Caenorhabditis elegans: one gene and its partners. The protein of the gene in region 1 interacts with the protein of each later gene in a pairwise test. Each region holds a gene or a part of one and is shown on either strand. Other genes may lie near its edges.

Region 1 (7,984 bases):
GCTTTTTCTGAGTAAGTGGAAGTAGGAGTATAAGCAAACGATAGTAAAGAAAATTTTAAAAAAGAAGAAAAAAAGAAGAACATATAAAAGAATAGGAGATTAGGGGATGGACGTACATGTTGAACAAGTTCTCATAAGACATACATTGAAGTTTTCTATTTTGTTTCAGAAAACCACAAAAAATCTACTAAATGTTGTAGATCGTCTATAATTTATTGTACTTGAAATTATTTTCAATTATAAACATATGTAAGTAAAAATTTTTCAGATACTCGAAATGATAGATGTATATTTCAAAAGCACTTAAAGTTTAACATAAACTTAAATTATCACAATTTTAATTTCAGAGTTTATAAATTGGAATTTTCAGAGTTGGAAAGTTTTAGGTTCAAGTTTTTTTAAACACAAACTAATTCTGAATTTATGCGCAATACAGACAAAAAGTTGAAAAGAAAAAATAAAAATACACAAATCACTGAAATTAATCCTAACTCTACTTTACTTACTCCGCAGCTACATTTGAAGACATTCCGCACAAATTCAGGCGTGAAATCTATACATATCGGTTTACAGCAAAGCGCTTTACAAATAACAAATAAGAGAGCCAAATGCAGAAAGAAGAAAGCAACTGCTCCACTTTTCATCAAATTTCACTGCTGTTTCAATTTTCTTGAGAATAGAAACAACAAAAAAAAGGGACGGCTTAGAGCAAATGGACCAACACGAAAATGGCTTGAGGCTATTTAAAACAAGAAACATGAGACAAATTATGGTAATTATGTGAGAAAAAAGGAAGGAAAACAAAGAGAACAACATAAAACTACATTAGACTGAAAAATGCTCAACTGAGTAGAATAAACAGTTAACAAGAAGAAGGTAAATGTTATCAATCTGGAAATTACGATTTCAAACCAAACCTTGCATTCCAAGGTGTACACAGTCTTCGATAGAATGCAGAGCAATGTACAAATGGATTATCGGTCACTTTTCTTGCATCGAAAGTTGCTGAAATGGAAATCCAATGGGAGCACCAGCAATTTCCCGACTTCTGAAAAACTTCAAACATTTTAAACTCTTTTTAAACAAAACTTTACTGGGCGTATTTCAAGTTGCATAAATTGAAAAATGTACGTCCAAAATCATAGACTGAGCTACAACTTTTTAAATCTGTCCAATTACCAATTTTTGTTTGGTAATGTTCATTTCAAAATTTTAATTTTTAAATGAAAACGCTATGATTTGTTTTAATTTCTTGAGTGTAAGAAAAACAATATGTCGAAATTACCAAAACATTTTAAAAATTTGTGGTCATAATTCACAAGTGCCTATTCTTTTACAAAAAACCAAATATAAAATATTTCTTACAGCAGCATAGCTATTTGTAAATTGTTGCAACTTCTAACTTCTTTCAAAAAAAAAAACGTTCAAGTTCAATCAAAAACCCTATTTTTCATTGCCAGAAAACATTTCAAGAACTATTTCTAATATCTAGTTTTTCCTCCAGTTTTTTTTTCAGTTTGAAACCAACTTTCAATTTTAAATTGGTCGATGGAAGTCTGAAGATGGTAACTACTCACCCAAAAAACCTAAATCGTCACACCATTACAATCGTTTAGCAGACGCCTTCTTTCAGATGTTATCTCGAAAAAAAAGACTAGTACAGTACAAATGGGAAAAAGAGAATCTTCAGATTTTCAGGAGTGCGTTCTTTAACCTATTATCTAATTAAATTTCTGTGAAAGTTGATCAACATAAAAACCAAACAATCTGAGTTTGCTCAGGTTTTTTGCTTTTTCTGCTGTAATACAAATATTTATGCTGACACAACTCATGATGAATCACGAAAAAATTGTCTTTACATTGCAGATTAGGCACTTCCTTCAAAATAAACTGGCTAAAAACTACAATTCCAGTTTAAGATACGAATTTCAAAAAAAAAAGTGCAGAAAGTATTATAAACAAAATTCCATTCAGCAAAGAAAACGCTTGCATGTTGCGGCGTTGTTAAACAAAAATATTAGGATAAGTTCTTTACAAAGTATCATTTTTCAAATGCAGTCAAATTTGCCAGATCACCTAAATGTTTTCTCACTTGATTATATATTCCCTTGCCCAACACCACCGCATTGTATTGTTCTATTGAACCTTCTTAGATGATCAATTGTTCATCGGAACGTGTTGATCTTCAGTTGTACCAACTGTAATCCGTACCAACGTGCAAACGCTGATCCCATGTAAAAACAGTTACCTCGTGCTTATGACCGTTCTCTTTGTTTCTGTCACTCTTTTCTGCCGAAAACGTGGAGAGGGTGTTGCGTTCTTTTCGAAAGAGCTCGTCATGCTCCAGCACATAAACTGCTCTTGAGCTCATATTTATACAGTCGTGCTCTTTCACTCCACTCTCCTATATCTCTGCGTCTTATTATTGTCCTTCACCCTCTATCCGTCCATCATTATCGTCATCATCATCATCACCCATGTTTTCGTCTTCTATAATTGCCTGCTACCTATGTCCTCGGGGGGGGGGGGGGGGGGGTGAAGGAAAAAGGAAGCAAAGTCATTGGCATCTCAGCTGCCAAGTGGTAACAAAGTGAGGATAGGAATTCAATCCAGCATATTGAAAATGTCTAGTTTTCACCTCTTTTTGCATCTTTTTTTTCTTACCGTTCGCCCTCTTCCAATGCCATCGCCATGTATCGTGTTTCCGTGAGTAGTCTGCGTTTCACAATTACTCATCCGTCACAAAAAAGGCATTCGCGTTTCCACCTGGAAGCTCTTAGATACTTCAAACACTTTGCTTCCGAAAACCATTGACTTTCACTTCACTTTCCTTTCATTGAAACTATCAAAAGTGAATTACGAATAATAAGGAGAGTACCATTTGATTGTGCTGGATATCCTCCTAAGTCTTGATCTTGCTGAAAGTGATTCACAGATAGAAAGTGGCTTGAAATTTCTATGAATACTTCTAATATATGTTTAACGCTGTGCAACTTTGAGACTTTTCTTAGGAACCGTTAATTTTTATGTTTTCTAAATTTAATTTATTTTAAAACAATGTTTCCAGCAAACTCAAAACTATCAGTACTTTCAAAACTCCTCCCTTTTAAAGCTATTTTTCCAATTCTCTGTATTTTTTTTTAAAGTCCATGTATATTTGTTAGTTGAACAACCGCTCAAACAATATTGCCCCACACCTTTGAGTTTGCCCGCCAACACACACTTTCTCACTCGCCTAATCAGTTATTGACAGTGTACATTTAAAGACTTTTTGATCACGTTTCTCACTCTTTCCCAACTATTTTCTCTTGACTTCCCGTGTTCTGTTGCTCCATTCGTCTATTTCACTCGAATCGTCGATCTATTAAAACATGAGCTGTTTACCATGGTGAGTAGATTTTGCCTGTTAATGTTTCTGTTAATCAAAAATATTAATTGTGTTTTTACTTTCAATAAGTATCCGAATAATATTGAATTTTTAATCAAACACATACGTTTTTTTTCACAAGAAATCTATCATAAAAAAATGTTTCGAGTAAACCTACCTAAAAGCAAGGGTGAAGATTTTCGAAATTCCCCATATACATAGTTGACTGTCAGAATTTTCGGCAGTTTTCAACCTCAGTCATATTTCAAACAGTTTAACATTTAACCTTGACATAATTGTTCATTTTTAAAGTTCCGTCAAATACCTATCAATTCAAGACACATCAAGCTTGAAAAGCGAATATTTTACTACAAAATACGTTTATACGTTTTGAAATCTCCAGAAATGTTCAGACATTGCTGTTTTAAAATCTTTTCGCCAATTGACAAAACTTCGATTGCCGCATTTGTAATTGTCAGAAATATCTCACCTCGAAAATTACCTATGTCTATTAAAAAAAACAACCAAGTAAGATGCTACTCAAGGCAAGTTACGAATGTTTTAAAAGCCCTCAGAATTTGCAATTTTTTGCTTGCAAGCTTAAGTTTACAGCAGTACTAGTTTGTAATTTTTCTTCCTATAGACTCTTCCTATGATGTTTTTAACTTTTTTTTTCGACTTGTTCATCAACCTGACTACATTTTAATTGATGCAATTCCATATCAATCATGAAAAAACAAGTATTAACGGATCATCTTGTTGCTTAGGATAATATCAACAGGCAAGAAAGCAAACTAACATAATAAACCATCGAATCTGTGCACCAGCTGGCAGTTCACCTCTCATCACGGTGTAGCTATTTCGCCTACGTCTCGTACTCTCTAACCATTTCCACCACCCATTTCTCCACCATCACCATTCAACATTTTCAAACCATGCCCCGCTACTTGGCGCCTATTGATTTATGATACTCGTTTATGTTCCATTTTGAAATTTCTCATTTTCATTTGAAAACATGTTAGATATGTGACTCACTAGCAATGCCTGTTTGAGCCGCACGTGTTTTGCAAATTAGGCAAACGAACCACTAAGAATACATAAGAAGCGAATATCCTTTACATGTCCACTTGGCATCCCTTCGCTCAATCAACTTCTATTCATTTCTTGTTTCTAAGTCCTTCCGAACGGAGTAGTACTCACAATTAAGGTAATCACAACCCTGTTATCCACTATTGTCGTATGTGTTTCTATTTTGAGATTTTTCCCACAGAAATGAATAGCTTTACAAAGTTGCTAATTAGAAGTAAGTAATTTGAGTCGTGTTTTATGCGATTAACATCATATTTCGAGAAGTACGCGAAAATTTATATATTTGTTTAGTTTGAAACTACACGTAATTTTTGTTTTTGAAAGTTGTGTTTCGTTCTTGTTTAAAAAAAGTGTTATATCTATAAAAATTAGATTTTAGTTTTTAATTTTTAAATTGAAAATTTTTAAGACTCCCTATTCCTTGTAAAAATGTTAAGGAAAAAAGCGTTTTTTTTCACAAATTCATATTTATACATTTTTTTGAGAATTAGTCGTTGTCAGAATTTTAAATTATAGTTTTTTTCTTTTTTTTTTTAAATATCTGTTGTAGATTTTTTGCATTTTATTTCCCTAAGAACTTAATCCTCCTTACACCGTACATAGCCAAAAACCAGCAAGTCCTAATTAATCATTCTCAAAGCTGAGAAATTAAAATTTTAAAAACTATATTTCGCCAGTAATTTTTATGAAAAAAGCCATGAATGCATGTTTGAAACGCTTTGAGTTTAAAACGGGAACATTTTTTGATAAAACATTGCTTCAAAATCCGTAGATCTTCAAAAACCACTTTTTTTGTTGGAAATTTTTACTTTTAGGAATTCTCGTTAACCCTGAACAGTGTTTTCTTTTATTGTTCACAGTCATCATGTAGACTGTTCGAATTTAAAGTTAGCTCAATGTTTTAAATGACACTAATAATAACTTGTTTTGTTTACAAAAAAATGTTATATTTACAAGAAAAAAAACAAACAACATTGACTACGTTCCAACTGCCCAACTCCTGATAATGATGTCACTGTCACCAGAATTCCCATAATAATTCATATCAGTACTCTCTTCCTGGCGGGGCACTTTTATCTTCCCTGGAACCTTGAAAACCGGTTAATTTCATTTAAATCATTCATTTCGGTTGGATTAGATGAAGCTTCCTCTTTTTCTTCTGCTTAAGGAGTGAAACAGAATCCCATACGACTTTTTCATCGTTTCTTCATCACATCCACCTTCTGTTTCACTGTTAGTCTCACCTCACCTTCTCCACTTCTCACACCTTTTTACGATGTTCTATTAGAACATTGTGTATGCGATTGAGTGAGTGTGTATCTGTATATGTATGACCTATGCAAATTCTTTATCCGTTCGCAAAATCTGCGTTTATTAATACAGCGTGCACTTTTTCAAGAAAGTAACCGAAGAAATTGACGAAAAAGGAGAGATCGGGCTGCCTATTTCGAGGACAACACATTCCTTCCATATTCTTCCGTAAAATGTTCAGACACTGGTCCCCTTCTAACTAAAACTAGGTCTTCATATCTATCAAATAAGTTGCGTTAGAATGGAATCTGATTCTGGTCGCTTTAACTTGTACATATTTTCCGATAGTGTTGGTCTTTCAAGTGTATGCCATTAGTAACTTGTTAGGCAATCTTCTAGGACATTGGTCAAAAAGTCCGTTGTTCAATTACGTTAAGCAACGGATGAATACATGTTTTTGTTTTTATTCGGTTTTCACTCACTCTTTTCACCAATCAGCTGTCAAGGTTTCATATTCCTGTATGGAATTTTGAATTCAAATTTTGATTCCCTGTTTTTCAAAATCAAAACAAATACTTTTTTTCAAATTTCGCCATAGGGTGCTATACTTAATTTTGTGTTCTAGAATTGTATTCTTGTAAAAATAACAAATATTTCCCGTATGTCAAAACTGTCTCACTACATTATATTTTTGTGTCAGTTTTGGGAATTATTTTAGGTCAAAAATTCAAAAAAAAAGAAAACGACAAATGTAGTGCACATTCAGATGTTTTCTACATATAAATAAACAATTTAAAAACAATTTCTGTTTTTCCCGAAGTTCAATTTTCCCTACCTACAGTTTTAGTTATATTTCAGTCTTTGGTTGTATTGTTTTTTTTCTTCCAAAGTCGTTCCATATGCATTTCTCAGCCACATGTCCCACCAACACAAACACCGGTGTTGGCTCCTGTTTCTGTTAAAGCCTTCGTGTAATCCTTCTCATACAGTCACCTCAGCGAGCGGACTCTGCTTTGCTTGTAAGCCGGCAGCGCCCAAATGTATCTGTCTCTAGTTCCACCTATTCTGTTTTGGTTGCTCTTCCTCTCTCGTTGCGGGCTCATGGATTGCCTCAAAAATTCGTTTCTCATCCTCCGATTCTTGCATTTGGCCGACGTGTTTCTGGCTGTCCCATTGTTTTTAAAACTGTATGTCGTCTTCCATGTCCTGCAAACAAATCGTGTTTACAGTCTCGCAAGATGCTCGTCCTTCCCACCGCTGCCGCTCTGGCTTGCCCGAATGAACTTTTCCTCTTTTTTTGCATGTGCGGTCTGTTCGTTTGTTCAACTCATTGTCATCTCTATTTCCTTTTTCTGTTTTTGGAAGCTCAATTCGCGCAAAAGTGCTCTTTCCGCTAAAAAAACACAACCGCTGGTCAGCGAGAAGATTGAACAATTAACACAATGTGCGAAGTCCTCTGAGAAATCGTCTTGTTTTCCTTTTTTCCCTAAAAAAATTTCCGTGTTCATTTCATTTCCATTTTCATTTCCAGACTTTGTCACAAATCTTTTTATATATTCATACGTTTTAATTGGCGTGTATTATGTGTAGTCAAAAATAGTGATTGGTAAATTGAATGACGTAGTTTCTATTGAAATTAAAGAATGTTCGAAGTAATACAGTAGTCCCCAAGATTGAAAATGAACCATATCTAGTCAAAATAAAATAAAAATAAAATATTTTTTCGAAAATATCAAACGTCATGTGAATCGACGAATTCACTGATTCTCGATTTTTAGGTTTATAAATTATAGAACTTCAAGCAGCTTTTTTTGATGTGTAACTAAATTTTCAACGCTTCTTATTCTCCAACCACTGATGTAAAAAACATGAACTTCTAGAAATTATATTACTCTCAGTGTTGAGCACTAAAATTACTTTCTAGCTAATTCTCGATGTACTCATTGTGCTCACCAATGCTGCAAGTTTTTTGTTGGACATAGTCATCGCAAAATTTCTTATACACAAAATGGCATACATCTTTTTTTCGTTCCTGAATTCGAAATTTTTTCATAAACGGCAGAAAAAATTAGTTCACGGCCAAACTTCAGTCACTGAACAAAGGACCACTTACCTGCCCGGTTTATTTGCCAACGGTTCTTCTTACCCGTTTGCCATCCACTTTTTTGGTAACACTATATCTTTGAAACTTCAATTTTCCTGCAACAAAAACTCCTGACCAGTAATTTTTTGGCCCTCGGTCGCGCAACCTGCCGGCTCCAAAATCAGGTCATCTAG
Region 2 (7,658 bases), on another chromosome or scaffold:
CAACAAAGAATATGTAACTACAGCCATCTAAAAGTTTGAGAAAGTTGAAAGCGTTATTCGGAATTCTAACTCAATTTTTAAAAAGTTTTGGGCCGCATACCTATCATTGCGGGAAGTGACATCAAAATTGCAATACACCATAATCCACCTAATAGTATATTTGTCCAGGGAACTCTGTGTTGTTTATTAAACGAATAAGGAAATGAAATTGCAACTGCTCTGTTAACTGCTAGGCTTATTTGAGTAAATGGGCCTGACATTAAATATGGGGCCCATCCAACTATTTGGCCGAAGAATACGTTAAATTGTTGTGGGAGATAATAATCATTTCTAAATTGTGAAAGTTTGTTCGAAAGTACATATATTGCGAACACTCACAGGTAAGCACAGGGAGCAGCCCATATGAGGAATGCCGTAGCGATGTGCACATTTGCAACAGATTTATTCACACATATCTTATTGAATCCTTCTCTTTCGCGAAACATTCTGGAAATCACCATTCCATTGAGAGTTATGTCTCCAAGGCTTAACTGAAAAGTTATTCATAAAAATAAGTTTTTAAGTAATCTTATCTATTGAGAACAGAGGTGGGCGAATATTTTTTCGGATATTTTCTAATAATGAATTTATCAATAAGTATTGATGCAGTTATTCTGGAAGAAATGTATCCGAACCAAAGAGTAACTATTAAGCAACATTTTAATATGATAAAACCTAGAAAAATTCTACAAGTTTTCCTTACCGAGACCTTAAAACTTATTAGCCGAGCAACATCGGATATCGGATATTACGGATATTACGGATATCGGATAATGGACTTGCATATCGTTTATACAGAAAACTTGTAGAATTTTTCTAGGTTTTATCATATTAAAATGTTGCTTAATAGTTACTCTTTTGTTCGGATACATTTCTTCCAGAATAATTGCATCAATACTTATTGATAAATTCATTATTAGAAAATATCCGAAAAAATATCCGCCCACCTCTGATTGAGAACTTCTTGGAGAAATTTTAATTCGTGTGTCATAATAGATAAAGAACGTTTTCTCGTTTTGCAATACTTACCAGCACCATAATCGTTGCTGCAATATACCGGAATTCTATCATGATCGACTATAGCCTGCCACTGAAAATTATAGAAATGAGAAATAATGATCTGAAAAATGCATATTTCGGTCTAACGTTGGTTCTCACAATTATCTTTTTCAATGAAATTTATTATTTTTTAGGAAGTTATGCGAGACGGCTGAAATTTTTCACAGAAAGATCAGTTCATTCTGCTGATACATGAAAATCGAATTCTCTGTGAAGGTGGGAGGTATAAAAGTATAGCAAAAAAAAAGTTGTACCTAGTTGGTCTTCAAGCATCGCCGAACTCAATGTTATTTATCTAAAATATTTTGGAATTTATCTGTGCTTTGAGTAGCTAAATGGGAGAGTCAAACTAATATTGACCTAGATACGTGAAAATTTAAATTATGAATTGAGCTTTTTGAAGTTCGTTTTTTTTCAGAAAAAAGATGTACGTGTCAATAGAGATATTGAAAGGTTTCGAGAACTTTTACTTGATTTTCTCTTGCTTTTCTGTTGAACAGTTTGAAACATAGTTAAAAGAAAACCGGAAACTATCGAATTCAACCTTCTACTACTTCTGGAAAAGTGGCTCTAGGGCCACCAGAAATACGATTTTATGGAAAAGTGGCTCTAGGGCCACCAGAAATACGATTTTATAGAAAAATAACATAAAATCTTGAGCGTTAGACAACGTTAGTTGAATTGTCAAACTGCAGTGACAATTAAATTCCATTCATTACGCTTTATTGAATACGTGGAAAAACAATACAAAATAACAAATCATTGTTTTGAGAAAATTAGGATTTTTTGGAAAATTGGGCGTTAGGGTTTTTCTGGAAATAAAGCAGTAATCAGTTTCATTTCACGACAAAACACAACATGTTTACAGAAAACTTGACAGAAGTAATCAAAATTCACCACTAATTCACCATTGTGTTTAACTTCATTTAACCTTTAACCCTTTTTGCTTAATTGGCAGTCCACGCAGGGCAAAAAAAAAGAGAAGACGGGCAGACAGTTTCACTAAAATAATATCTCCTGGAAAAATTATTATTAACTATCACAGATAACTTTATCTCACAGTCTTTTACAGCAATATCAACAATAATAAAAACGAGATCACAATTTTGGAAAAAATGATGTTTGATTAGAAAATAAAATATACATCCTCAGAATTAAAGGCTAGTTATCATTGACATCTGCATGGCATCTGACCGCAACGACATACAAGTCTCAGGGGTAAAGCCATTGAAACTACGGACCATTGATTGCAAGCACGAGTCATTGGAACTAGAAATTGTTTGGTAGGATCCATTTGAGGTCCATTGAGTGGAACTTGAAGTGAGAGTTGGGGAGGATGCTGAGGAGGCGGTGTAACCTTAAAAATTATAGTTATTTTCTATATTGTAGAAGTTGATCTTACTTTCTCCACGGGTGGGGATACCGTTGTTTTCTGTGAGACAGAACTTGTTTTGGCAGGGAGCTCCACTTGTGGTACGAGCACTGGTGGGGCTGGAATCGGAGTAGATGGCTTCGATGATTTTTGAACCATTGCAGGATTTGGTGACATCATTGCTGGTGTAGGGATGACTGATGGAGTACCTGCTAGTACTTGTGGAGTACTCATCAGATGGAAAAATGGATTAGGTTGTTGGCGGATAACACCTTTCTCCTTCAATAAGACAAATGGATGACGTAAGTAATCATGAAGTACTTCATCAGTGACACTTCCGTTGTGAGCGGATGATATGTAGGAAAGAAGTTTCCTCTGTTTGTCTTGTAAATCATTCATCATTACTTCCGCTGATTGTGCAAACTGTTTCGATGGAATTGTATTTGGAACATGTGGAATACGGGGCTGTGCAGTTACACTTGGAGCAGCTTTTTCTTTTTGTTCCTTTTCTGTTTTTTTCGTGGATTCTTTTTGCTGTGGAGTCGATGCAAGTGCAGCGACCGGTTTATTTGATGCGTCTAAAGACGGAGTAGGAGCTGGAGACTTTTTTATCGGTTGCTCTTGTGATTGAATTTCCATTGGTACTGGAGCAAGTGAAGCCGGTGCAACTTTTAAAGGCCCCGTAACCAGAGTTGGAGGTGGAGGAATAACTGGAACTTGAAATGAAGAAGGTGCTATTGAAGTTGGATGACTGTGAGCTTGATTTAAAGTTATCAGCTTTGACATGTTCAGAAGCATTTGCTGATCTTCTTGAATGCATCGTTTTATTTGTTGGTGGTCCAATGGTTTATGTTCAGTTGGACATGGTGATCCTGTTGATGTCTTTTCAGAAACTACTGGTTTGCTTATGAGTGACTCGATTCGTTGATGGTATTGCTGAAAATATCTCAATAAAGTCATCTCCAAGAAAAAATCTAAAATATTGTATCCAGCAGTTAGTTTTTTGAATATTTTATCGAGATTACAAGTTTCGGCAGTTAACTACGTTATACTGTATTCAGTACTTTTTCAACATGTTTCCAAATCTTGGCACTACGCCAGAAACTGATAAGAAAACCGCTGACACTGCAATGTTGCATATGCAACGTGGCTCTTTCGAAACATTGTGCAGAGCATGATATCTGTGTGTGCTTTGATCATATTCATAATCACTGAAAATCGATCATAATCAAACAGTTTCACGGACACTTTTTGTGAATTCCGTGAAATTCTAGCAAGGTGTCACTCCGTGCGAAAGAATATTTTAATGCAAGAAATTGTTTGATAATGTCATATCATGTGATAAGAAATAAAATATTTCCGGAACTTACTTTCAATCGCTGAAGTCTAGAGATCATTTCATCAAGGAACGAAATGCGTTGCGAAGGTTCCGTGCAATTCAACGCGTTTAATAGATTTAGAAAAAGGACATCCATAAAACTGGCAGGTGGCTCTGAAATTAGAAATTCAATTTTCGAAAATCAACTCAAACAACAAACCTAGAGTTGGTGGAGCTGAAATTTTCATAGCGGGCACATCCACGCTGGCGGAAAGTAGCCTTTTGCGAGTGGCTAAATCCATTTTTGAACCACTGAAATTAAAAATGTTGAAATTTAAGAATGTGAAAAATTGCGCACAAAATATGAAAGAAAAAATAAGTATGACTAGATTCAAAATGAGGTGGAACCGGAAAACCTTATGATTGTGTCCATAAAATGCTGGTATATACAAAAATTTAAGGCAGTCTCTGGGTATGATTGACTGATTTGGAAACTGATAAGACTATATCAGTTGTTGTAGACCGTTGTCAACTGATTGTAGATAGCCTCAGGGCTCTAAAAATCTTGACTAGTGATAAGAAAAATTGGCGTTGCTGTCAACATCAAAATCATGTTCTTATCACAGCGAAACTCTGGTGCAGAGTGTAAATGGAACAGAATCGAACCGAGCAACACAATGTGACAGAAACTGTGTTTGTTTGCAGTAAAAAGTGAAAATTTTCAAACTGGAGAGTTACCTCTTATTTCTGCGCCATGGTGTAAATTTAAATAATATATCATAAATTGAAAACATGAGACATAATTTAAAAGTCTTAAAATAAAAAAGTTTTTCCTCCAGACATATAAGTGAGGGATTTCAAGCTGTTCAAAATATTTCCTTTTACTTTGTTGAAGATGAAACAAAAAAAAATCATTTTTCGTGCAGAAATTATTTAAATTTTACAGATTTTTTCGAAAAGCCAGTACACAACGGTTTAAAACGAAATACCATGTTGTTATCAAGTTAACCTTTCAGTTCTCAAACGATGACATTAATATTCTTTCCGCGTCAAAAGTTTTCTGGGTGATTAAAAAAGAGACAGAAAAAAGTGAACATGCTCAGCGATAAGCTGATTGAAATTTTGTTGAGGTTACGATATTGTCTTGTGTCTTGTGAAAAGTTTGCTAAAAACTTTTGTATCCTGATGTATGAAAAAAGTGAGAAAAATTTTAAGTTAGTCAACAATTTCAACTTCATTCATAGGCACAACTGAGAATTTAATTAACTTGTATTCCACAATTGCTGGATGTGTGAGCATTCAAACATTTTTGATTTGAAAATAATGCGATTGAAATAAAAAAGAATTGAACGAATTAACATATGAAATTATTCCGCACGCGATATGTATTCATAAATTCTAGAATTTTTATTGTTCTGTTCAAATCATTTCCACTTTCAAAATGTATTGAATCTGTCGTTGATACTCTATTCTCTTATCACCAAAAACTTGTTCATCTTTATGACTATCACTTGACTCTTCAGGTAAACATTGAATGTATTGAATACTTTGAATGCTCTTATCAAATTGTTTTCATCATCCTGAACCAAAATAATTCCTTACCGACGCCACCTACCTGATTGTTCCACAAATTATTATAAAACAAAGAGAAAGTTTTTCAAGAGGAGCACTAAAAAGTCAAACTCGTTCTATAAAAAAAGTAAGAAAAAATAATTTAAATTGTGTTGTTTGTGTAGGTTTGGTTAGTGTATGTGTGTGAAGCTGTAGGTTTGGTTAGTGTATGTGTGCAATTGAGATGAACCGACGACGATCGGCCGATAAAAAATGTATGAGGTCGGGCCAGGGGAATTGATACATAAAATATGAGCTAGTGCGCATTTAGAATGAATCGAATTTCATTCAGCTCTTGTTTTTTTGTGAGCTGCTCAAAAATTATTAGCAGTAGGTGAGATGATGTTGGTACTTCTGTTTGGGCCGTTAATATATAATGGAATCGTCCATTTGTTGTGATGAATGTTGTCGGATTGGGAAACAATATTAAAATAGCGTGGAATAAATACACTGAATTTCCAGGAACTAATACTCCAATATTTGTAGGAGGAATACAGATCGACGATTGATTAATTTTGATTGAATTTGGTAGAATAACACTTTACAAATAAATATTACTATTATGGTGCATATTATATATTTGGATAAAATCTGAAAATTACAGAAACGTTCAGCCGGCGTCATTGATATGTCAACGTTCCAGTGGCAAAAACATACAACATTCATTGCGATTAATCACTTGAATTGAATTATCCAGAAATGACTGTCTGTAACCGATCCGTGAAAGTCATTCAACTGTTTTTTTGCAAATGTAGCGTCCTTGTCATGCCAACGTATAATGTGCAATATTCTTTAGATTTGTTTTCCGTTTAAATTGACTCAATTTATTCAGCAAAGCACTTTAAAACAATAAGTTGTAACCTCTGTTCATGATTACGATCTAAAAAACTCCATTAAAACGTTTTCTGAATTCTCCCAAAATACCATCATGGTTTCACTGGGTTCAACGATAACTTATCGAATGCAAAACCTAGCGGTGCACAGCTTTCAACAGTTTTCGGCAACCGGCAATCTCCTTACTTGATTTCCAATAATTTCTAAATCAACCAATAAAGAAATGGTAGAAAAAGAGTTTGAAATATTTTGCTAATTGACAGTTTTTCTAACAAACAAAAACTAAGATACGTGTTGTCAAAGCTAACAAATAAGTTGTAATACTATTCGAGGAAATACAGCATATAGATTTTAATAATTTGTGGCAAAAATTTCACATTAAAAAAAATGTCTCTCACAATCAAACTATTCAGAGTTTTTCAGTAATTAATTTCAAGTAAAGTCTTCAAAGGTTTGAGCAATTGCCAAAACTTTCAGAAACCAACAGTTACCTGAATTGCCGAGTGTCCAAAATGCTGGATTTCATCACTCCCCAGCCATTCCCTCCCTTTGTTTCAAACAACACCAACAACACTTGCTAGTTGTAGTTGAAAGTGTACGTTATCTTTCTCCATGAGACAAACAAAATAAATATGAGGAAGAAAGAACCACTTTTCAAGTTCATGTCGTTTTTTATTGAATATTTGATTTCTGTAAGTTTATTATCCCTACAATAATTTGACAAACGAACAGTCGCAATGGAGACATCAATTTTTGATGATGTTGAAACCAGAATAGACAACAATGAGTGAGTGCAAATATGTTACACAGTATGGTCGTATTATGAATTTCTATTATTATTGAAATTCCAGAATTATTGCTCAACAGCATGCTGAAGATCTATTTGAGCTTTACTTGAAAATTCAAAATGCTGAAAAGGACAGTGTTATTGATATCAGAAAAGAGGCAAGCGCCGATCATGAAGAGGTATTCGTTTGTTAACAATTGCTAAGTTAGCAGTGTATCTTACAGATGTTATGTGAGCTTCGCAATGATTTGAGCCAAGTCATGAAAATGGGAATGGTGAATCTTTCAATGCAAATTATTGCTCAAGAGAGAAACAACCGCAGAAAAGTTAATCAGCATATTATCAACATAAAATCGAAGACAGAAGAAATTGACAAGTTTTTCCAGCGAGCAATTTCTGTGGTTAGTATCATTTGTAAAATTGCCACGTCTAGAAAAATTTTATCTTACTGCGTTTTCACTAACTGTTTCGAATAATATGATTTTTAAAAAGTTATTTTCTGCTCGTTTCAGCTTGGTGCACCGCCAGGCTATCCTGCGAAAAAGGAAGAAAAAGCGAAAACTAAGAACTATTTGATCCAGTTTGGAGAAGTTCTTCTTTCAATTAGTACGATGGTCACTAATCTGGAGCAAAGCTTG
Region 3 (8,065 bases), on another chromosome or scaffold:
TCCCAAAAAAACCGCCCAATTTCCAGGATCACTTTCGTTATATCGAACGAAGCGCCGAACTGGAAAAACAGGATCTTTCTGCCGGTCCAAGCTTGGATTTAGCATTTAAAGAGGGACAAACCATCTCAATTAACATTGGAGTACGAATTTCGGACTGAAAATCTCTGAAAATTACCCTAATTTTCTTGCAGAAAAAGGATAAAAGTGCAGTTTCCCGCCCTCGTCCGGCTCCTGGAGCATCTACTGGAGGCCTAGTGCCACTGCTTCCACCGCCGCCAGGTGCCGGCTCAATGGTACGGAGCTCGAGCTGAAAATCTGGAAAAAATGGCTGAAAAATGTGAAAAATTGCCTGAAAAACTGAATTTTCCGTGATTTTTCGGGTGAAAATCTGGGAAAAATGGCTTAAAAACTAAATTTTCAGTGGTTTTTCGTCTAAAAAAGTAGATTTTCATTTGAAAAATGTCTGAATACCTTAATTTTTAGCTGAAAAACTTGAAAATTTGCTCAAAAAAATCGGGAAAAATCGATTTTCTGGATAAAATTAAGCTAATTTCGTTATTTTTTAGCTGAAAATCTGGAAAATTGCCTGAAAAATCTGAAAAATTGCCGGAAAAACTGAATTTTCCGTGATTTTTGGGTGAAAATCTGGGAAAAATGGCTTAAAAATCGTTTTTTTTTTGTTTTCAGTGGAAAAATCTGAAAAATTGCATGTTTTTCAGCTAAAAAACGTCTAAATTCGTTAATTTTTGACTGAAAATCTCGAAAATTCTGAAAAAATTGAGTATTTTGCTCAAAAAATCGGGAAAAATCGATTTTCTGGATAAAATTAAGCTAATTTCGTTGATTTTTAGCTGAAAATCTGGAAAAAATGGCTTAAAAATCAGTTTTCAGTGGAAAAATCTGGAAAAAAAATGCTAAAAACTGAATTTTCAGTGGTTTTTCGGCTAAAAAAATTTATTTTTAGTCAAAAAACATCTGAAGATCTTTAAAATTCTGTAAAAATTGAGTATTTTGCTCCAAAAAATTGAAAAAAATCGATTTTCTGGATAAAAATTAAGCTAATTTCGTTAATTTTTAGCCGAAAATCTTAAAAATTTCGCTGAATTTTGGATTTTTTGGTCGATTTCTGTGGAAAAATCGCCGAAATTTGCTAATTTTTCACTAAAAATCTTCGAAAATTTGATTTTTTGGCTGAAAAAGCCTAAAATAGTGTTGAAATTGTATAAAATCTGAGGAAATTTCCCAATTATTCGCTGGAAATTGACATTTTTTCACCACTTTTCTTATCTTTCTCATCACAAGATTATTATTGACTTTTTTGTGGAAAAAATGTGATTTTCAGCTGAATTTTGGCCGGAAAAATGCTAAAAAAACCGATATTTTTGACTGAAACTTCAAAAAATATCGAATTTTCAGCATTTTTCCGGCGAAATTTTTGATTTTTTCGAGTATTTTGGCTGAAAAATTGAAATTTACAGCCTAAATTATCGGAAATTAACCTTTAAAATCGCGGAAAATCCAATTTTTAGCTTAAAAATTGCTGAAAAGTGCAATTTTTTCCACTTTTTGCTCAGAGTTTCCATGGAAATTGGTGACGAATTTCGTTCGGAATCTCTGCGCCTCTTTGGTTTTTTTTTCTCTGAAAATCCTCCGTCTGCTTCTCTAATTCTCCACTTTTTCCCACATTTTTGTGTGTTTTTCGCGCGATTTTTAGACAATTTTCCTCCAAAAAAAGGGTTTTTTTCCGAGCTTTTTGAAAAAAATTGTATAAAAAATGCAAAAAAAACCATTTTTTCAGTTTAAATCTCAAAAATTCGTGAAATTTGCCATTTTCAAACCGCAAAATTTGAATTTTTCGATTTAAAAAAGTCGAAATTTTACCAAAAAATATTTGATTTTCGGCAGATTTTTTGCATAAAATTTCAGAAAAGTAGCTGAAAATAGTGAAAATTCGAATTTTTCACTCAAAAAATTGCTCAAAAGTTCGTGAAATATGCCTTTTTCTCCAAAAAAAAATTGCCGAAAAACCGTGCTTTTTCGCGAATTTTCAGCGATTTTTGGCTGAAAAATCGCATTTTTGGCCGAAAAAATTGGGTTTTTAGACATTTTCTCACCAAAAACTATGCTTTTTTCGAGTTTTTTGAAAAAAATTGCGATTTTCTGAGAAAAAAATCTTAAAAAACCCCATTTTTTCGGTTTAAATCTGAAAAATTCGTGAAATTTGCCATTTTGAAGCCACAAAATTCGAATTTTTCGATTTTAAAACTCGAAAATTCATGATTTTAGTCGAAATTTTGCCAAAAAACTATGATTTTCGTCAGAATTTCGCATAAAATTTCCGAAAAGTAGCTAAAAACGCTGAAATTCGAATTTTTAAGCCCAAATTTGCAATTTTCAGTCAAAAAATGCGATAAAAGTACGGATTTTTGCTCGAAATCAACTTTTTTTCTTCAAAAATTCGAGTTTTCCACTCAAAAATCATAGAAATTCCTCTAAAATTTGTATATTTTCGACTAAAATTTCCCCAATTTTCAGATCAGAAACTCTCGTCCTTCCACCACCACCACTACGGCTTCATCTTCTCTGTCTTCTGCTTTTGCTGCTCCACCGCCGGCTCCGAGCTCTTCGACGAGCACAACGGCGACGTCTGGCAATTTATTGTCAGTTTTTTGCTCGTTTTTGAGTGAAAAATTGATGGAATTCACAAAAAATGGCCAAAGAATCCTCAAAATTGGCCGAAAATTCTGAAAAATGACCTAAAAATCACCGAAAAACGGCCAAAAATTATCTGAAAATCGCCGAAAATCTCAAATTTTGAGGAAATTCCCGCTAAAAATTAATAAAAATCACCGAAAAAAGGCCAAAAATTACCTAATAAAGGCCGAAAATCGCCTAAAAAGGCCAAAAATTCTGAAAAATGGCCAAATTTCAATTTTTCACACACAAAAAATCCCTGAATTTTCTATTTTTACTCGAAAAACTGTGGATTTACGGGGGTAAAAATTCAGTTTTTAGTGCTATTTCACAAGAAAAACACAGCATTTTCGACAAAAACTCCGATTTTTAAGCCAAAAATTTGAGGTTTTTAGTTTTTTACGTGAAAACCTGAACTTTTTGCCAAAAAAACACTTTTTTTTAGACTAAAAATCAATTTTCGATCAAAAATCACTAATTTTGCCTGAAAAAATATAGATTTTTCCACTTTTTCACTGAAAAAAAACTGGATTTTCACTAGAAAATCAAGTTGTTTTTAGACCAAAAATTTTATTTTTCCGCTGAAAATTATCGTTTTTCAGTCAATTTTCAGCTAAAAATCCCTGAAATTCTGGATTTTCAGCCAAAAAACTCGAAATTTTCCAAAAAAACCCCGTTTAAAAATGAGTTTAGACTGAAAATTCCGATTTTTGAGCCAAAAATTTGATTTTTAATCGAAAAAAATTGGATTTTCAACCAAAAAATCAGTTTTTCAGTGATTTTTAGAGTAAAAATCACTGATTTTAACACAAAATTCCAGTTTTTCGTGATTTTTCACTAGAAAATCCCGATTTTTCCCCAAAAAATCCATTTTTCCGACTAAAAATCCCCAAATTTTCAGAGATTTCTAAGCGATGACGTCATCTTTCTTCTCCGTACAACTGTCTGCGTCTCTTCACTTCTCTCTCTCCACCTTTTCTCTACGCTTTCCATCGCTAATTTATTGAAATTTCCTGTCCCATTTCATTTTTTTTTCGAATTTTTTTTTAATTGTTAATAGCTTCTGTGATTTTTCCCTGCTTTTTTCTGATTTTTTCCGTCAAAAATGGACAATTTTCAGTCATTTTTATTGATTTTTTGCTATTTTTTCCCCGGAAACGGTTATTTTTCACCGCATTTTATCTATTTTTCGCCAATTTTCGGTTAATTTCATCAAATTTTCCGTCCAGATCACTCTCTTGGGGCGCCAAAAACTTGGTGAAACCGAATCGATTATCTGGTGAAAATGCTGAATTTGGTGAGTTTTTTTTTTAAACGAAAAATCATTAAAAATTATAAATTCTCATTTAAAAAAATTGAAAATTTAATTTTGTGAAAAAAATGTGGAAAACTTCAATTTTTAAGCCAAAAATTTCCAGTTTTTTCGGATTTTTTTTAGCAGAATTTTTAAAAAATCGATGAAAAATTAGGATTTTTGGCATTTTTGCCGCGAAAAAATCCACATTTTCAGAAAAAAAAATCCAAAAAAATGAAATATTTACTGGAGGAAAATTATAAACTTTCAGAAAAAAACAATATTTATTTGTTAAAAAAAACAATTTTTCTGAAAAAAATCAACATTTTCGAAAAAAAAATCTAAAAATCAAAATTGATCTGTTTTTCCTCAAAAAAATTCAAAACTATCAGAAAAAATTAATATTTTCTGTTTAAAAAACCAAATATCCCCCAATTTTTCAATTTTTGGCTAATTTTTAGGGTTTTTTACTCTAAAAAAATTCAAAATTTTCTTTAAAAAATCAATGTTTTATTTTAAAAACCAAAATTCCAATTTTCCCCGAAAAATTCAGGAAAAAACCCTCAAAATGGCCCAATTTTTGGTTAATTCTTCGGGTTTTTACCATAAAAAAATTCAAAATTTTCTGAAAAAATCAATAATTTCCGTTAAAAAATCGAACTTTTCAAAAAAACTAATAAAAAAAAAACATAATTAAAAATTTTCAAAAAATTCAAGCTTATCGAAAAAAACCAAAATTTTCCAATTTTTCCACTAATTTTTCAATTTTTGGCTAATTTTTTGGTGTTTTTACCCTTAAAAAATTCGATTTTTCCACTATAAAATTGAAAAACCCCCTAAATTTTTCAATTTTTCGCTAATTTTTTGGGTTTTTACCCTAAAAATTCTCAATTTTTTTAACCAAGCAATCAATTTTTCTGAAAAAAAGTGAATTTTTAATTTTTTCTTATAGTTTTGAATTTTTTGGAGGAAAAACAGATCAATTTTGATTTTTAGATTTTTTTTTCGAAAATGGTGAATTTTTCAGAAAAATTGTTTTTTTAACAAATAAATATTGTTTTTTTCTGAAAGTTTATAATTTTCCTCCAGTAAATATTTCATTTTTTTGGATTTTTTTTTCTGAAAAATTGGAATTTTTCGCGGCAAAAATGCCAAAAATCCTAATTTTTCATCGATTTTTCAGATAATTTTTTTTAAATTCTGCTAAAATACGACAGTTTTCGGAGCAAAAATCCGGAAAAATTGGAAATTTAACAAAATTAAAATTTCAATTTTTCGCTAATTTTTTGGGTTATTACCCTAAAAAATTCAATTTTTTAATCAAAAAATTTTAATTTTATAAAATTCGAAATTTTCTGAAAAAATCAATAAATTCTGTTCAAAATTGAAGCTTTCCAAAAAAAAAAATTTCTGGAAAAAACCAAAAATTTCAAATTTTCTCCAAAAAAACCCCAATTTTCTGGCAAAAAAACCAAAAATTTTCAATTTTTCGCTACTTTGTTTGGGTTTTTTACTCTAAAAAAAATTAAAAATTCACTGAAAAAATTCAAAATTTTCTTAAAAAATCAATGTTTTATTTTAAAAACCAAAATTCCAATTTTCCCCGAAAATTTCAGGAAAAACCCACAAAATTGCCCAATTTTAGGCTAATTTTTGGGTTTTTACCATAAAAAATTCAACATTTTCTGAAAAAATCAATAATTTCTGTTAAAAAATCAAACTTTTCAAAAAAAACCAAAATTTTCAATTTTTTCCACTATAAAATTGAAAACCCCCGAAAATTTTCAATTTCTTGGTTAATTTTTTGGGTGTTTTTACTCTAAAAATTCAATTTTTTAATCAAAAAATTTTAATTTTCTGAAAAAATTCGAAATTTTCTGAAAAAATCAAAAAATTCTGTTAAAAAATTCAAGCTTTACAAAAAAAAAATTTTCTGGAAAAAACCAAAAATTTCAAATTTTCTCCAAAAAAACCCCAAGTTTCTGACAAAAAAACCAAAAATTTTCAATTTTTGGCTAATTTTTCGGTGTTTTTACCCTTAAAAAATTCGATTTTTCCACTATAAAATTGAAAAACCCCCTAAATTTTTCAATTTTTCGCTAATTTTTTGGGTTTTTACCCTAAAAATTCTCAATTTTTTTAACCAAGCAATCAATTTTTCTGAAAAAAAGTGAATTTTTAATTTTTTCTTATAGTTTTGAATTTTTTGGAGGAAAAACAGATCAATTTTGATTTTTAGATTTTTTTTTCGAAAATGTTGAATTTTTCAGAAAAATTGTTTTTTTAACAAATAAATATTGATTTTTTCTGAAAGTTTATAATTTTCCTCCAGTAAATATTTCATTTTTTTGGATTTTTTTTTCTGAAAAATTGGAATTTTTCGCGGCAAAAATGCCAAAAATCCTAATTTTTTCATCGATTTTTCAGAGAATTTTTTAATAATTCTGCTAAAATACGACAGTTTTCGGAGCAAAAATTCGGAAAAACTGGAAATTTTTGGCTTAAAAAATGATTTTTTTCACTTTTTTTTTCACAAAATTAAATTTTCAATTTTTCGCTAATTTTTTGGGTTTTCACCCTAAAAAATTCGAAATTTTAAAAAAATTTTCTGGAAAAAACCAAAAATTTCAAATTTTCTCCAAAAAACCCCCAATTTTCTGGCAAAAAAACCAAAAATTTTCAATTTTTCCACTAATTTTTCAATTTTTGGCTAATTTTTTGGTGTTTTTACTCTTAAAAAATTCGATTTTTCCACTATAAAAATGGAAAAACCCCTAAATTTTTCAATTTTTCGCTACTTTTTTTGGGTGTTTTTACCCTAATAATTCCCAATTATTTGCAGGGTCCCGGCGTATCCGTACCAGCAGCTGGCACAGCATCCAGCTCAGCCGTTCGACGCCTCCAAAAAGACTACGCAAAACTGATGCAAGATCCTGTTGATGGAATTAAAGCACTTCCAAATGAGGATAATATTCTTGAATGGCATTATTGCCTTCGTGGATCACCGGATACACCATTCTATGGTGGTTATTATTGGGGAAAAGTGATTTTTAAGGAGAATTTCCCGTGGAGTCCACCTGCTATCACGATGATTACACCGAATGGAAGGTAGTAATGACGGACGGACACGAAAATTGCGAAAAAAAAATCGTCAAAAAATACGGTTTTCAATGATTTTTATGTAACTTTTGAGCAAAAATTAATTTTTTTGACGATTTTCCTCATTTTTTCAGAAAAAATTGATTTTAATCGCATTTTTGGCCATTTTCCAACTTTTTTGTAAATAAAAATCATTGGAAATCGCCAAAAATACGATTAAAATTAAATTTTCCCGAAAAATTGTAAGAAAATCATTGAAATTGGTCGAAAAATGCGATTAAAATCGATTTTTGCTGAAAATGTTCAAAAATGTCATTTTTGTTTTTAAAAATTGGATTATATCAGCCAAAAACGGCACAAAATCCTTTTTTTTTCCTCGAAAAATGCAAAAAATCTAATTTTTTTTTTTGAAAAATTCGGAAAAATCAGTAAAGATACGATTAAAACCAAGTTTTTCTGAAAAATATCGAAAAAATCGAGAAAAATGGTAGAAAATGCGGTAAAAAACCAAATTTTGCTGGAAAATAGCGTATAAAATGGTCAAAAATACGATTAAATTTACATATTCGCTGGAAAGTTGCACAAAAAAGTTGGAAAATGGCCAAAAAATGCGATTAAAATCAATTTTTTGCTGAAAAAATGAGGAAAATCGTCAAAAAAATTAATTTTTGCTCAAAAGTTACATAAAAATCATTGAAAATCGTCAAAAAAAATCGATTTTTACCCGGAAATTCATTTTTTCTCGATGAATTTCTGAGAAAATTGCAATTTTCTTTGGTTTTTCAGATTTTGATTCAAAAAAGTTCACATTCCATTCTCTCAGAATTTACAGAATTTTAACCAATAAATTGTAAAAAATTCAGTTTTGCATTTGAAAAGTTTAACCTACAAATGGCCTAATTTGACGATTTTGTAGATTTTCACGGAAAAATTCATTTATTCTTATAAAAACTTGAAGTTTTCGTCTAACAATTAAGA
Region 4 (7,171 bases), on another chromosome or scaffold:
TGTCCAAAAATCGTGAAATTGTTATCAGCTGATGGTCTTCTCAATTCACCCCATCAAAGAACTCACGGAGCCCGTAAATGCGGAATAAAGCGGGTTAGAAGGCAGATTAACATTCCAACAAGGTTTTTTTAAGGACTTTCTGAACTATATATTTTGAGCGGTAGTGAAGTTTTTCGTTGTCCCCCTTTATGAGTTCCGCAATTTATTATGAAATAAATTATGAACAATGTTTTCAAAGCAGGCGTAGGTTGCTTCAAAGACGGGCAGGTATTGGTGCCTATCGTAATTTTTTAAATTTGGTTGTTCACGTTAAGTGATTTTTTGAATGGGTCTCGCGACTAACTCATTTGCAGTGGTTGCGAGAAGTTTCGAATTTTACATACTTCTCCGTTTGATATAGAAAATAAAGTGCATCAAATTGCATATCCTAAAATGTACAGAGAAGAACAGGTTAAAAAAAAACATTTTGTCCGAACATACATGCTAGCATTGAATACGAGATACGAGAGAACTTAAGTTTTTGTTGCATTACTGAAAAAAATTGTATTGGAAATTTTCAATTAAACCGTATTCTTTGCTTCTTGTTTTATCAGTGAAATCATTAGTACATACATTTAAACTTAGCACAAATTTTTAGTCTTATCAAATGTGACTAGAAAATTTTGAGCAAAAAATTAAAATTTTTCATTGTTCAAATGAAAATTTCAACGAACACAATTGTCACAAAGAAAATCAGTTGTCCACCACAACCAGAACAATACAAAACCCTGTTCAAATAGATCATCAAGTGATCGATTGTCCATTGTAATGGATTTTCAGAATGTTACAGAATGGCTACTGTTTGTGCATCTGCTCACCTGCGGATTGTCGGATTTTCACATACAAGACCGTGCAAATCAGGAGACGCAGGGAAACAAAAGGTGTACTATATAAACGAGGTGAAAATCGAGATAAATCATCAAATCATTTCGTTTGATACACAATGAATAAGTCTATTTTCCTAGTTGGAGCATTTTTGGCTGTCGCTTTCGGGCAAACGTGTAGCCCAGACAGAATTACTGCACGTATGTTTTACTTGAAAATTAATAATCATTTGCCCCTACAGTAATACGAGCAATACAGTAATTGGGACTTAATTAGCATACTGGCTTTCCACTTTGAGATTATTCGTTGAGACATCTCTCGCTTCAAGACCCTTCACAAAGAAACTATCGCACAGGCTTCAAATTTGAACACTTCCAAAAGTTTTTCTGGGAAATTTACTCTCAAATTAAAGCCAGCAGAAGGGCGCAATTTTAGATTTTTAGATTTTTGAAACTTTTGACCAATCAATGACGTTGACCACGCCTTAATGTCATTGGTCGAGTAACACTTTTTTCGCGCTCAAATTCGATTCTTTAATCCAAACATTTTTTCAGCATGCGATGTTGGTTTGCCTTGTGAAACTGGATCTACTTGTGATCTTACTCTTTTAAGTTGCTGTCTCAATGCGGATCTCAGTAAGTCTCTGGAATCAGTAAATTTTAAATTTCCCTTTTCAGTCACCACTGTGGTTCCATCTAACGTTGTCACCGACGCTTCGGGATCCACTGTGACTGTTGCCACGACTATCCGTAGTGGATCCACTGTCACTTCCCGCACTTCATCTGGAACAGGATGCGTTGATCGTGTCAATTCAGCTACAGGAACTTCTGATTGTGCTAATAGAAGAGCTCTCTGCAACGATGCCAACTACTTTGACGTCATGACTCAACAATGTCCAAAGACTTGCGGAAGATGCTCATCATTCTCTAGCACACCTACAACTGGTACATGCACTGACTTGAAGAACCCAAAGACGGGAACTTCGGACTGCGCAAGCCTGCGTTCTTTCTGTAATGATTCCAACTACATTGATCTGATGAGAACTCAATGCCCAAGAACTTGTGGATTCTGTGGAAGTTCCGGTTCATCTTCTACCACTAGATCCAGCGCAACTGTTTCTTCCGGAAGTAAGTGGGAAAAATTATAAAAGTGTTAAAACTGATTTTAACGGTTGGAGCTTGATTTAGTATTAAATTTAAGCAAAATTTAGTTGTACAAATATTTTCATATTAATTGCAACATGGCCAAATATCACAAATAAAAAGTCCGAGTTTTTAATGACTCAAAACTACCAGCCAACCTTTCCCCAACTTTAGACGAAACTAACTACTTGTTTATTTAAAAAAAGAGAAAACAACTGTCCAAAAAAATCTGAAACATCCGATTCTAAGGTAAAACAATCTACTGTATTATCTAAAAAATGTACGGCCATAGATTTTCAACAATAACACAAGCATTCGTTACTTTCTAAAACCAATCTTGAAAATCTTCCAGCATGTGTCGACAGAGTCAACCCAGCCACCGGAAGATCTGATTGTGCATCCAACATTGGTCTTTGCAACAACTCAGCCTACCAATCCGTCATGCGTGCTCAATGTCCAAGAACCTGCGGATTCTGTACATCCGGATAATTTGTTTCGCCATCACGATTAGTAATAATTGTGTAATAATGTGTCCAATTCATTTTAATTTATAATAAAACGCTGCGAGTCGGGAAGAAATGTGTTCAAATAGTATCCGAAACGCCGGTTGGTTGTACCAATATAAAAACAATGCGCGCATTGTTCTGCGAAAATTTTGTTATTTTTGAAACAGAGCTGAAATGTTTGAACAGCCTTTAGCTCGTGGATAGCCACTGTAAAATATGGAATATTGCGATAAAAACAGATAGACAAGAAATAAAACTTTAAAAAACTTTTACTTGAAAAACTTACAAAGAAACGTTACTTACAGACTCTTTTTGAAAATCCAATTTTTCTACTAGATTATCTCAAAAAGTTAAGCTCAACTCCTACAATCTAAAGTTGTATTCTGGGGTTTTTGCAAGCTTGTAAAACTGTCATAATAGCCGTTATTTGCATAATTATTTTGACGGCATTTTCAGCAAAAAATCGATCACTGCAGACCCGAGATACACATTCTACGTCAAAATATATGTAATTTAAATTTAATAATTTCAGCACTCTTTTGTTGAAACATTTGCCACAAGCGATACTTTTTAGCTATTTCGTCATAAACTTCCATCACGAACGGTATCTAAACTTCTTGATCACATTATTTCAATTTCAAAGACTTATAGCACAATGGTCAACGTTAATTGTTTGAACAGATGGACAGTATCTCACAATATAAAAGCAACTGCTGCAGAACTATAACCATCATTCTATCATGTTCCGTCAATTCATTATTTCATTTGCCATATTCTCGGTTGCATTTGCTTGTGAAGCTTCTGAATCTGAAGGACGTAAGTAACAACTGTAATCGCATTTAGAATAAATACTTTATTTCAGCGTGTGACGGTGGCATTCTTGTGTGCCAGACACAGGTCTGTGACGTGGCAGCTGGTCAATGCTGTCCTATTACCAGTAAGTGAAACAGATTCTTTCAACAGCGACCTTTGAAATTCTAGCTGCTGCCGCTGTTACTTCAACCACTGCTGCTGTTGTGACCGATTCCGATGGATCTACAGTAACCACAACTGCATCATCAGTTACAGTAACTTCTACCTCCACGACAACGTGTGCTGATCGTGTCAATCCATCTACCGGAGTCTCTGATTGTTCAGCTCTTGCCTACCTTTGCAACGACTCGACCTACTACACAGTCATGACCCAGCAGTGCCCAAGAACATGCGGTCGCTGTAATTCTACTTCAACAAGCTCTACTAGCTGTGTTGATCGTGTTAATCCATCCACCGGAGTTTCCGATTGTCCAGCTCGTGCTGCTTTGTGCAACGACTCCAACTACTACACACTCATGACCACTCAATGCCCAAGAACTTGCGGAAGATGCTCCACTTCTTCTTCGACTACTTCATCGTCCAGTAAGTTCGCTGAAAACTGGAACGTGATTCTTTAATTAGAGTTAGATTTCTTGAAACAGAGGACAACAATTTAAATTTCCAGGCACCACATGTGCCGATCGTTCTAACCCATCCACCGGGAGATCTGATTGTCCGGCTCGTGCCGCACTTTGTAATAACGCAGCTTATTACAATCTTATGACAGTCCAGTGTCCGGTAACTTGTGGAAGATGCTCCACAAATAGTACTTCTAGCTATTCCAGTAGGTGGCAGTTGCCTCTTGCTTCGCTGATCAGCTGTAGCTTTTTTTACCTGCTTCTGTCTAATATGCTTGCTTTGTTTGCCTTAGCTTTTCTTATATTTTCGTTTGCACTAACTGAGGAAATTTCAGCCACCTGTGCTGATCGTGTCAATCCAACAACTGGAGTTTCCGATTGCCCAGCTCGTGCTTCTCTTTGCAACAACTCAGTCTACTATGACATCATGACCACCCAATGCCCAAGAACTTGTGGAAGATGCACATCAAGCTCAACTATCTCTGCCACGTCATCAGCTTCTACTACTGTTTCATGTAAGTTTTATTTCTGAAGAATTATAGCTGATTGATTCTACTGTTTGTGATACGACAACTAAGATACTTAAACCTCTTCAGCCACTTGTGTCGACCAAGTCAACGCCGCTACAGGAACTTCCGATTGTCCAAATCGTCGTGCTTTTTGTACCAACTCCGCTTACATTTCCCTTATGCGTACCCAATGTCCACTTACCTGCGGATTCTGTACTGCTGGATAATTTTTGTGTTTGTGGAAATAATTTATCTCTAATTTATGCACCGTCTGGTTTTTGTGATTTATGATTCTAAAGTAAATAAAATAATTTAAATAATTTAGATTTTGAGAAAGTTCGATTTCAAAACAAAACATCTCAATGTTTTAAATGTAATAAAATATTTATTTTTTCATTTTCAAACATTCTGAAAACATATCCAATTTTTATTTTGTTTCATTGAATTAATAATTAAAACTTTTTTGGACAACTTTAAATGAATCTGGCGTCAATAATTTTTCGTTGAGTTTCACCTTATAATGATTGTTTTTTTATACAAAAGTCTGACTTACATACTAGAACTTTAAAAAAAATTAAATTTATAATTTAAAAATTTAAAAACTTATTAAAAATGAAATGAAGCACCCATTGGAGTACCTATACGTCTATTTTGCTCCCACAAATTAATTACTTTATCAGCGCCTGTAAAAATTATTGATGTTCGGAAAATACAGGAAATTAAAAAAAAAACTATGAAAACGAAAAGCGTTCTAATTAAAAAGAAACTCTGATGATGTTTTGAAAAAAATTATCGCTGACTGACTCAATCCTGTGTTACACTCACTTAAGTTAGTCTGTATTGTACTTTTACATTATCGCAAAAAATAATTTGCCTTTGCCGTGCTCTCAAAAGTTTTTCAAAAGGGAAGGTGGTTTTAAAGATCATCGGCTTTAAATAAAATAAAGAAAGGATCGAATTCTAAAGAAGATTTTACAAGTCAAAACTATAATTGGGCTGATCTATCCGAACAACTTGGTGAAAAATTTTTGCAACGATCTCCTAAAACTGTATACATTTTTTGATGGAAGTGTTGTCCTTCCAACAATAACCAATTTCAATTTGCTTCTAAGGATTAACCGAACAACATGAAATTAAAATACTTTCTCAGAAGATAACTGTCTTTCCCAGAATGGTAAACTTTAAAATTATATTTTTATTGGATGGAACTGCGTGAAAGTAAGGATCGATTTCATAAAAATCTTTCAATCATAACTGTTCCTTTGTTAATTACGAGGGGCATTTTACTAAATTTGAAGCAATTGTTATGCAGAGAGGATTGAAATGTTTGCTTTCAATCCAGGTACTTTTCCATGTAAAACAATGGTCATTCTGTTTCCAAAAATGTAACAGAGACAACTGTTTGCACAGATGGACAGTATCTCACAATATAAAAGCAACTGCTGCAGAACTATAACCATCATTCTATCATGTTCCGTCAATTCATTATTTCATTTGCCATTTTCTCGGTTGCATTTGCTTGCGAAGCTTCTGAATCTGAAGGACGTAAGTAAAGACTGCCATTACTTTTAGAGTTTGAGTTGTTTCATTTCAGCATGTGACGGTGGCATTCTTGTGTGCCAGACACAGGTCTGTGATGTGGCAGCTGGTCAATGTTGTCCTGTAACCAGTAAGTCAACAAGGTTCTTTCAACCGTGACCTATGATTTTTAGCCGTTCCCCTTGTGACTTCAACCACTGCTGCTGTGGTAACAGATTCTGATGGATCTACAGTAACCACAACTGCTTCAGCAGTTACAGTAACCTCAACCTCTACAACTTCGTGTGCTGATCGCCTCAATCCATCTACCGGGGTCTCTGATTGTCCAGCACTTGCCTATCTTTGCAACGACACCACCTACTACACAGTCATGACTCAACAATGTCCAAGAACATGCGGTCGTTGTAACTCAACTACCACAAGCTCCACTAGCTGTGCCGATCTTGTAAACCCATCCACCGGAGTTTCTGATTGTACTGCACGAGCTTCTTTGTGCAATGATTCAGTCTACTATGCCGTCATGACTCAACAATGCCCAAGAACTTGTGGAAGATGTAACTCAAGCTCTACCGTAACTTCATCTTCCTCCACAACAGCTTCAAGTAAGATTAATAATTGTTCATAACGTTCCATGTCTGAACTTTTCAGCCACCTGTGTTGACCAAGTCAACGCAGCTACAGGAGTCTCCGATTGTCCAAACCGTCGTGCATTCTGTACCAATTCTGCCTACGCAACCCTTATGAGAGCTCAATGCCCACTCACTTGCGGATTCTGCACTTCTGGATAATCTTCATTTTTTCTTGAATCATTTTATTTATTTCCTAATATATTTGGTTGTTGTAAATTTGAACTTCTTCATATAAAAAACTTTGGATCTTGGAGTTTTATTGCAGAAATTAACAGATACATGTACCTTCATTAAAAAATTAGAGACGTTGTCGATTGGACAACACTCGAACAATGGATCCCTGCCCAAATTTTGATACCAATTGAGAATGCCACAATAGTAGAGAAAGACACGTGGCAGAATCAGAGCATAGTTGCATTGCTTTGTAAATATACTTCATCAGAATGTCTCCATTTTCATTTGACAGCTTGTGAACTGATTCTTCAATATCGGTCTGTCGAAATGCATGAATAACCTCGGCCACAAGGAGAACAGCACGGTTCTTGAGTTCCT

The links.
Region 2: the proteins of sdpn-1 (region 1) and B0507.3 interact in a two-hybrid assay, tested with the Caenorhabditis elegans proteins (one large-scale study listed by BioGRID).
Region 3: the proteins of sdpn-1 (region 1) and ubc-15 interact in a two-hybrid assay, tested with the Caenorhabditis elegans proteins (one large-scale study listed by BioGRID).
Region 4: the proteins of sdpn-1 (region 1) and phat-1 interact in a two-hybrid assay, tested with the Caenorhabditis elegans proteins (one large-scale study listed by BioGRID).

Annotation. Positions count from the first base shown.
Region 1 is NC_003284.9:7,993,483-8,001,466, reverse strand, and holds the start of sdpn-1 (SH3 domain-containing protein), read left to right. Parts: upstream 1-3,371; coding exon 3,372-3,388; intron 3,389-6,857; exon of another isoform or gene 6,858-7,106; intron 7,107-7,984.
Region 2 is NC_003283.11:8,765,351-8,773,008, reverse strand, and holds B0507.3 (Mediator of RNA polymerase II transcription subunit 15), read right to left. Parts: upstream 4,101-7,658; 5' UTR 4,091-4,100; coding exon 4,009-4,090; intron 3,963-4,008; coding exon 3,841-3,962; intron 3,407-3,840; coding exon 2,501-3,406; intron 2,456-2,500; coding exon 2,267-2,455; 3' UTR 2,136-2,266; downstream 1-2,135. Other genes in the region: srx-115 (7TM GPCR serpentine receptor class x (Srx) domain-containing protein), read right to left, coding at 1-27, 101-330, 379-530, 1,069-1,110; B0507.9 (Protein containing ALS2cr12 (ALS2CR12) signature), read left to right, coding at 6,971-7,020, 7,085-7,199, 7,245-7,421, 7,533-7,658.
Region 3 is NC_003280.10:2,909,462-2,917,526, reverse strand, and holds the start of ubc-15 (Ubiquitin-conjugating enzyme E2 J2), read left to right. Parts: upstream 1-3,923; 5' UTR 3,924-3,979; coding exon 3,980-3,991; intron 3,992-6,830; coding exon 6,831-7,096; intron 7,097-8,065. Other genes in the region: ncap-1 (NECAP PHear domain-containing protein), read left to right, coding at 27-140, 192-293, 2,536-2,660, 3,596-3,605.
Region 4 is NC_003279.8:5,041,802-5,048,972, reverse strand, and holds phat-1 (ShKT domain-containing protein), read left to right. Parts: upstream 1-3,252; coding exon 3,253-3,328; intron 3,329-3,374; coding exon 3,375-3,449; intron 3,450-3,493; coding exon 3,494-3,907; intron 3,908-4,089; exon of another isoform or gene 4,090-4,233; intron 4,234-4,277; coding exon 4,278-4,457; intron 4,458-4,538; coding exon 4,539-4,678; 3' UTR 4,679-4,775; downstream 4,776-7,171. Other genes in the region: phat-2 (ShKT domain-containing protein), read left to right, coding at 983-1,064, 1,419-1,499, 1,542-1,991, 2,359-2,495; C46H11.7 (ShKT domain-containing protein), read left to right, coding at 5,921-5,996, 6,046-6,120, 6,164-6,592, 6,639-6,778; C46H11.3 (putative actin-related protein 2/3 complex subunit 5), read right to left, coding at 6,918-7,169.